Linked DNA regions of Mus musculus. The main gene of each other region encodes a partner of the protein of the gene in region 2 in a complex. Links are inferred from orthologs where the notes say so. Each region holds a gene or a part of one and is shown on either strand. Other genes may lie near its edges. The genes, in order: Rab25 and Rab11fip2.

Region 1 (4,571 bases), on a different chromosome or scaffold from region 2:
GAAAAGAGTTGTCTCTTCTGGCAGAGACACTGAGGGGATTGGCCACAGTACATAGGACATCTGTCTAGGGCCGGGGAACAGAAGGGCCAGCAGTGTTCGAGACAGGGGCTGCTGAGGCAGCAGGGTACCGCAGTTAAGAGCAACAGCTGTGGGCTGCTGGCAGAGGACATGTGGAAAGGTTACTGAGACAGGTCACGTGAGAAAGGATAAAAGCACGGAAGGCCTGGAGTGCACATTTCTGGACTAGGGAGTATGGGAAGGATGCAGATGTCTGTAAGTGAATTGGAAGGATGAGGAAGAAGGGCTTGGGTATTTGGTGTGTTTCCATGGAAGACTGAGGTTAAGGTTGGCTGGTGACACTTCTGTGGGTGAGAGGCAGGTGCTGGAGTGCACCTTTTTGCATGCATGTGTGTTACTGCCTCTCCTTTGTGAGGAGAAGCATTCCCATTCATCCATCCGCTACCCTGTCCTCAGGCAAGGTTTTAATGCTAGGCAGGTAGCTGTCCCTACTGGCTTTGAGGCCTTTTAATTTTGTTTTAAGATTTATCTATTTTATGTAAGTGAGCATGTGGCTTCTACATGTGTTTGTATACCACATGCATGCCTGGTGGAGTGTCAGGTCACCTGGAACTGGAGTTAAAGATGAGTGTAACCACCATGTGGGTACTTACCCACAGAGCCACCTCTCCAGCCCCTTTAGTGACTTCTTTTTGGCAAACAACTTAAGTCTCTCTCTACATCTTAGTGTCCTCCTCTGTAAAATGCCAGTGGCTAACATTTACAGAGTGTTTCCATCACATCAGCCATTATCCAAAAAACTTTATGTAACCCCACAACAATGCCTGAGGTAAATGCCTTTATTGTTCCCATTTTTGTTTATATTATTATTATTAGACTTTTAAAAAGATTTATTTATTATTATATTATATGTAAGTACACTGTAGTTATCTTCAAACACACCAGAAGAGGGTACCATATCTCATTACAGATGGTTGTGAGCCACCATGTGGTTGCTGGGATTTGAACTCAGGACCTTTGGATGGAAGAGCAGTCAGTGCTCTTAACCACTGAGCCATCTCTTCAGCCCATATTATTATTATTATTATTATTATTATTATTTTGTTTTTTCAAGACAGGGTTTCTCTGTATAGTCCTGGCTGTCCCGGGACTCAGTCTGTAGACCAGGCTGGCCTCGAACTCAGAGATCCACCTGCTTCTGCCTCGTCAGTGCTGGGATTAAAGGCCTGCACTACCACCGCCCAGCCACCATGCCCATTTTTATAGACAAGGAAGGCACCCAGCTAGTAGGTCTATCACACTGCTCTAAACATAGATGTGCTGCTCACCTCTACCTTCGGGGAAGGATCTGCCCCGCCCCCTCATTGCAGGGAGGAAAGCAGTAGCAGTGACAGCTCACAGGTGAGCCCTCACGGACATGGGGATGTCAAACCTCTCTGGACAGCTCCATGTGGTACCCCAGGGACAGTGTTCCAAGGCTACTCCAAAGCTCCCTGTTCCCTGAGTAGCTCTGAGCTCTCTCTCATGGCAGGCAGGTGACTATCCTCTGCCTAGTCCTGCTTCCTCCTGCTTATCTTCACATGTGGTGGCTTATAATCATTACAGAATACCCGACACTTCTCAGAAGTGGCACTGGGACCCCATCTGAGCTAACTGGTAAGTGGCAGAGAGGCCATGCAACCACTCACGGTGATAGCTCACACCAGGGCTGTAAGATGAGTGTGTGAGAGTGGCACCCAGTAGGGCCTCAACAAACGGGAGTTACTATACCATGGCCACAGCCCCACCAGATTCCTTGGGAAAATGCCAGGAGTACAGGCTCCCCAGCTTGGGCCAGGGTGGGGCTGAGGTTGGGAGAGGCTGTGGGTGTGGTGCAAAGGAAAGGAGAGTGCCACCAGGCCACCTAGCCTTCAAGAAGGAGAGCTAGAGACCCACAGAGAGACCAAACACCAGGAGCTGAGGGAAAGCAAGCAGGCAGGATGCATGTGCACTGTCAGAAACAGCCCAGCAAACCCTGTGCCTAGTATCTGGGTCCAAAGATTGTGTGGTACAAGAGGCCATGCATGGCACAGGCTGCAGCCCAGGAGTCCTGTGGAATCCATTAGATGGCTGGAGAGTCAATGCATTGTCCGGGTGTATCAACTACCTAAGTATCAACTTCCCTATGTGTCAACTACCTAGATCAACAATGACTGCGGGGGGGGGGGGGTGGGGGGTGGGGGGTGGGGGGGGGGGCGCACCCCTTCCTACGCATCTGCTGGTAGAGATGACTTTCTTCCTCTTAAATAGGCTTGCTTCTCCCTCTACTCTGAAAGTCCTTTCTGAAGTCCGACTTCCATCTCTTGGGCTTCACTGACATTCCCAGGGATTTGAGCATCTATTAGAGACTGGGCAGGGAAGAATAATTTGGCAATAGGGAGAAATTATCCACATCTTTATAGAGAGCATACAACTCCAGAACATCTGTACCTGTAACCAGACATGCCTACTCCTCATGGCCTTTCTCTCGGAGAAGGAATGCTGAGCTTGGGGACGGGTGGGGGGAGAATGTCCAAGGTAGAGATAAAAATAAAAGGGAGACCCTGTGTCCTCTGGAAATAGCCTCTCTCCCACCCTCTCTGGAGTCTCCCTTTTCGAGAACCCCAACTTACCCTTAAAGACAAAGTTATAATCTTCATCTGTTCGATTCCCCATCTTGGCTCAGCATGGAGAGTGAAGACGTTTGCAGGTGCAGAGGTCACGAGTCTGTTTATTGTTTAAATGGCCTCAACTCTCAGCTTTTAAGAGACCTGCACCTGGCTCCTCTCTCATTGGGGGAAAAGGACAAGAGGGCTCAGTTGAGGCCAGGAAGAGCCCCAGAGGCTCAGCTCTGGCACGTTTAGCTACTCTGTGGGAGCTGAGAGGACGGAAGCTGAGAACAGGAAGAGCTAGCCAGCTCCGCTGGGCACCTGGGGCACAGGTGGGTGGAGCGATGATGACGTCAGACAGGTTAAACAGGTTAGGTGTCTGCTCTTGGCCCACACTCCCCCAAATAAGAGGGCCTGGTCACAGAGGTAACAGTGGGTGAGGCTGCGGCGAGCCCGAGTGTACATTGCTGGGTTTTGGGGGTTCTAAGAAGGAGAGCTGCCACTGGGCTGAAGTAGACACGGGGTGGGGCAGAAACGTACCGGCCTCCAGCTTTCCCATCTCAGGTTTTGGTAAGGACACATACCGGGGGGCATCAGGGGAAGGGCTATCAGGGCAAGAAATGCAAGCTGGGCACAGCATCTCCCCACAATGCAGAGTTTTGGGAGCTGTACCAGCACGCAGCATCCGGCCCCTCCTTAACAGCCCCAGGCCAGGGAGGGGCAGCATTTCTCACACAGGTGGAGCTGGGACGCCACCTGCCCAGATGGGTCCCTTCCTAACATACAATAAACAGATTTACTACCTTCGTGGACGGATCTCAGAGACAAGGGCAGAAAGAGCTGGATGCGGTGAATATGGGTGCAGGATCTGAGATGAAGACCTTGAGGCCTTCTGGGGGTCAATCTTCTGACTGCCATGCTTGTATGTGGGACACACCTATCCACGCGTCATGTACGCAAACAGTAAATAAGTAAAGGCAATGCAGAGGAGTCTGCTGTGCTCACACACGATTTTTTTTTTTTTAAATTAAAACAAATGCTGCAGAGAGGATCATGAAAAGGTAGGGAAAGGAGCAGGAGCACTCCTTAAATTAGAAAGGGTGACCTCTATTTTCTGTGTCCAGCAAGAACAGGCATTTGCTCCTTTAGATCAGTCCCAGGTGCTGCAAAACGGGCGGGTGAGATTCTGCTCTGAGGGTTGAGTGAGCTCAGCAGCTAAGGGCACCGCTGCTCTTGCAGAAGACCCTGGTTAGGTTCTCAGCATAGCTCTCTCACAGCCACCTGCTAACTCTGGTTTCAGGGATATCTGATGCCCTTTACAGGCACAAGTGCAGACACACAAACAGTCAAAACACTCATGTACATAAAATAACCTAAACAATTTTTTCACACGGGTGTAGTGGCACATACCTTTAATCCCAGCACTTGGGAGGCAGAGGCAGACGGATTTCTGAGTTGGAGGCCAGCCTGGTCTACAAAGTGAATTCCAGGACAGCCAGGGTTATACAGAGAAATCCTGTCTCACAAAAACCAAAAAACAAATTGTTTAAAGAAAAGCAATTCTGGGAGGATGGGAAGGGAGCTTTTTGCAATGTAAATAGAATAAACATATAAATTAATGGAAAAAAAAAGCAATTAGGAGTATGATGAGACACAGCACTGGAGAAGCCAAGGGCACTGGGCAGCCCTGCCAAGAACCACTGAGAGATTTGGTGATGGGGAATGAGAGAGCCCACCTTTGCAGGAGAGGGGAATCCTCCCGAGGAAACCACTCCACACTTTCCTCCCAAGAAAGCAGGTGAGACACAGGTAAGAGTTGAAAATTTATTCAGAAAAAAGCAACCCCCCCTTCCTGTACCTCGCCCGATATGGCGTTTCTAGGGCCCCGCCCCTCCCTCCAGATCATCATCCCTTTTCTACTCCAGC
Region 2 (3,813 bases):
TTGTAGTTTCCAATGTGCCTTTTCCTTGGGCAGATGTTACATATACAAACACTAAAAACTTTAACTTCTAAAAATTATGTTCTTAGTGACAGAAAATAGAGGAATATAAAGAAAATTCTCCAGTTCTAGTGGCATGCTTAGTTACTTAGAGGACAGACATGGTTCCTGTGCTCCTGCAATCACAGGCGTGTCAGTTCACACACCAGCTTCTTGGCAATGGACTGTGCTTTAAGTTGACACAGTAGTCTCAAAACCATGGGTCACAAGAGTTCAGGAGCTCTCTAAGTAGGTTTTACTTAACATACTGGGAAAAAATTCTGTTCTACGCCTTAACTGGAGACACCCATTAACTACAAATGTTCTAGTTTACCAGAAAGATGACTTGTGACAGAAACTTCCAGGAATGCACTTTCTGTCCCCATACCTGGAGCTTCATAAATACAAAGAAAAAGTCTTAAGTTCTAAAAGAATTTTTTTCTTATATACTTGTAACCATAGGATTTATAATACAACCTTGATTTTGATAGTAGTGTTAATATTAAAGTGGAACAAAATGAAGCTGAAATCTAGTGCAGGCCGTCTCCCTGTTAAAGCCACAGAGGCCACAGCTTGAGGACAGTTACTTTTCATATTATTTGTATTGTATTATTTTAAAACTAGTTCCCTTTTTTTTCCTGCTTTTCACTGACTCTAAAATTACCTAGTTTAGCCAATCTCTAAGTTACCTTGAACACTTGTTTTCAGTAATCTCTGCAAAAAAATAAGTGTTCAGAAAGGGAGGGGCACACTCTTATTTAGCTTGTACTTAAGAGTTGATGAAGTAGAGACACATGAAGAAGTATCTCTGTGTCAGGAAAGCACAAAATAAAAATTTATTTCTCTGAAGTATAGTCTATAGATAAAACTGAATGAATTTTTTTTCTAAAACTACAGCAAATTCCCATCTAATAATAAAGAAAACAAACAGAAAATGAGCACTTCCCTCTGGAAATTTTAAGAGCATTTTTTAACATAGCATAGAAGATATACATTCAAGGGTGGGCATTGCATTCATGATGGAGAGGTCTAAGAGAAAAGCGTACCCAAGTGGCTGTTAATGCTCCGTCTTCTGTAAGTACTGGGACAAAACAAAAAGCCCCAATTTTAAAGAAAAGGATATATAAGACATCAATTGGTCACCTGTCCCTTACCCAGTATTTCTGGGACCCAAAGTGGTTCAGTTTGGTTTTAGAATTTTAGAATATCAGCATTGACTTTCCATGTAAAAATTACAAATCTGAAAAATTCCAAATCTGAAGCTCAAGGTTCTACCCACGATGAAAGCGTTAAACTGTCATTCTACTTCTACATAAAAGTGGATCGGGTTCCAAGTGAAGGATACTCAGCCTGAAGCAGTGACCATCTATTCGATCCCCGCTTGGTACCTGGCTTTGTACTGTGTGTTTCATGTGTGTGTTACTTAGCCTCACTACATCCTACAAACTACATATATCCTCTTTGCTTCAGAGATGTAGATGCTGAGGTCTAGAGAGGTCACAGTACTCCACAGTCAGGATTCCCACTCAGGTCTGTATATTACACAGGACACTCAGCCTCTACTGTATTTCTCTACAATTACTTAAAAACTTCATGGTCATCTTCATCTTTGCTTGAGGTTCCTTAAGCAGGTCCTCTATCACTCAGAACTGCAGAACCTCTGACTTTAATGCTGTGAAGTAAGCAGCCATGTACACAGAAGGACCCAAAGCTTTAAAACTCTAACTTTCATCAGCTGATTGTACCCATGGCTACTTGTCACCCAGGGCTCTGGTTAGGGTACAGACAGTACCCCCAAGGGTCCCTGGATTCAAGAAGACATTCATGTATTCATGAATAAAAGATATTTCTGATCAGCCATCTAATAAAGACAGTTAACATCTTTTATGACAACATTAGTACTTCAGCATTTGCTAAATAGCACCATGCTGACTGCTTCTGGCTCACTGGCGCTCTCCTGACAGCCCGTGATTTAATCCCTGGGAAGCACCTAGAAATATACTTCTGGATTGAATTCATGCCCATGGTCTATTCACTTTTACTGGGTCTCATCAAATACCATGCTGTTTTCTCCAAGAACTATGGTAGGTTTCTGGCTCCCATAGGTAGGAGCAGACTGAGGTAGAAAGGAAAAAGTCTTTGCTCTTCCAAGGTAAAACATTCAATTCCAAGGACACATGCAAACAACAATGTTTAGATCTATGATGGATAGTTTTTTTTTTAAAGGTAAAAATAAATAAGTAAATAAAAAGAATATAAAATATTCATGCATCTAAAAGGAATACTTATTATTTTCAAGTACAAGGTCCCCCAAACGGCACATGTTCCTCCTGGTGAGCTTACCTTGAAGATGGCATTATAGTTGAAGCCCTGAATTTTGCTGTAAACGGGTTAGTTGACTCATATTCAAAATAGTCCTGCCGGTTTTCACTAAAAGCACTAGGTGATTTCAAGTCACATGGGCTATCAGATCCACCATTGTTCAGCTTGTCAGGTCTCCTGCTATCTCTCTTGCCAGTCACTCTTTCAAAGAGGCTCACCTTCTCCCTTTTCTCTCTCTTACTTTCTTTCCTGACTTCAATTGGTTTTGAGAATAAATTCATGCTGCTGTCCCATGGCTCACTGCTTTCTTCAAATGGATTCTTCTTCCTTGGCAGTGTTGCAAATTTTTGGGGTAATGAAGCAGTCACATTTGTAAATGGGTCACTCTGTCTTCCAAAAGAGTGTTCACCTTCATCCACAATGCTGCCAGGTTGGTTCAATTTAGAAGTATCAAAGCTTAGTGTTCGTCTGTGTGGAGACTTGAGACTTCCTACAAACATTTTTTCCCATTAGTAGGTGATGGGTGACATATGCTGTTACACTATCTGATACATTCTGCTGCTTCAGAATGAGAGCAATTAACAAGATATCAACCCTCAAAATAATCAAAACAATCTTAAAATTAGGTAAGGGGTATTATAAGTAGATGTGCTATGATACTATATTTTTAGACAATTATATTACTATCTTCTTTGGCTCAGAACCGATCACATGAGAAAAGTGTAAAATCCATCCAAAGGGCCTGCTCTCACAATCATACTGAAAAGTCTTAAACTTTTCCACCATTAGAATCCAATTTTGTTTCCTCTGAATATAGAAATTTTTCTAGAAACACTTGTATGGAATGGAATATATGCTACAGGCTCTTTTTCCTCTTTGGTGTGTCCATGGATATGCGTGGAGGCCAGAGGTCAACCAACACTGTCATTCCTCAAGAACTACCCATCTTGGTTTTGAGACAAAATCTCTTACTGGTATGGAATTTCCCAAGTGGTCTTGGCTGACTGGCCAGGGAGCCCCGGACATGCACCTGTCTCTACCTCCTCCATTCCTGCCTTACTGTCTCAGTGTGCATTTGGGTGTCTAAGGAACTCCTCAGATCCTCATGCTTTCAAGGCAAGCACTTTGCCAAACATTTCCCGCTGCAAGCTTTTGAAATGGAGAAATGATAACAGAAAAAAGAGGCCAGGCCACAAAAGAAGGCTAGGATTCATTTCTCTACCACATACAACAAAAATATAGATACAAGCAAGCATGTCTCCGGTGAATCTATCAATTAGGTGTTGGGAGGTACTCAAACAATCAATGACTGGCTTTAGAAACACTACTTTTCATTTTCTATCTTTAGAAGTTACACTACATAAAATAGGAGAGAGGAAGAAAGGAAATATGGCACCACTTACCACTTTCTGGAACAACTCCAAAGGAATCTATCTGGCGACTGAGAAGATGTGT

What was found.
Region 1: the proteins of Rab11fip2 (region 2) and Rab25 are in contact, whole or in part, in a crystal structure (PDB 3TSO), measured with the Homo sapiens proteins. The link is inferred for Mus musculus from reciprocal best matches to the Homo sapiens genes RAB11FIP2 and RAB25. Residues at the interface, in NP_055719.1 of Homo sapiens: Arg475, Glu478, Ile481, Asp482, Asn483, Leu485, Val486, Met489, Pro493, Ser494, Leu496, Arg497, Val498, Pro499; in NP_065120.2 of Homo sapiens: Arg34, Ile45, Gly46, Val47, Glu48, Phe49, Ser50, Thr51, Lys62, Trp66, Arg73, Arg75, Ala76, Ile77, Ala80, Tyr81.

The regions. Positions count from the first base shown.
Region 1 is NC_000069.6:88,545,364-88,549,934, forward strand, and holds the start of Rab25 (ras-related protein Rab-25), read right to left. Parts: upstream 2,917-4,571; 5' UTR 2,713-2,916; coding exon 2,670-2,712; intron 1-2,669. UniProt on the Homo sapiens protein: The small GTPases Rab are key regulators of intracellular membrane trafficking, from the formation of transport vesicles to their fusion with membranes.
Region 2 is NC_000085.6:59,933,227-59,937,039, forward strand, and holds part of Rab11fip2 (rab11 family-interacting protein 2), read right to left. Parts: coding exon 3,762-3,813; intron 2,849-3,761; coding exon 2,380-2,848; intron 1-2,379. UniProt on the Homo sapiens protein: A Rab11 effector binding preferentially phosphatidylinositol 3,4,5-trisphosphate (PtdInsP3) and phosphatidic acid (PA) and acting in the regulation of the transport of vesicles from the endosomal recycling compartment (ERC) to the plasma membrane.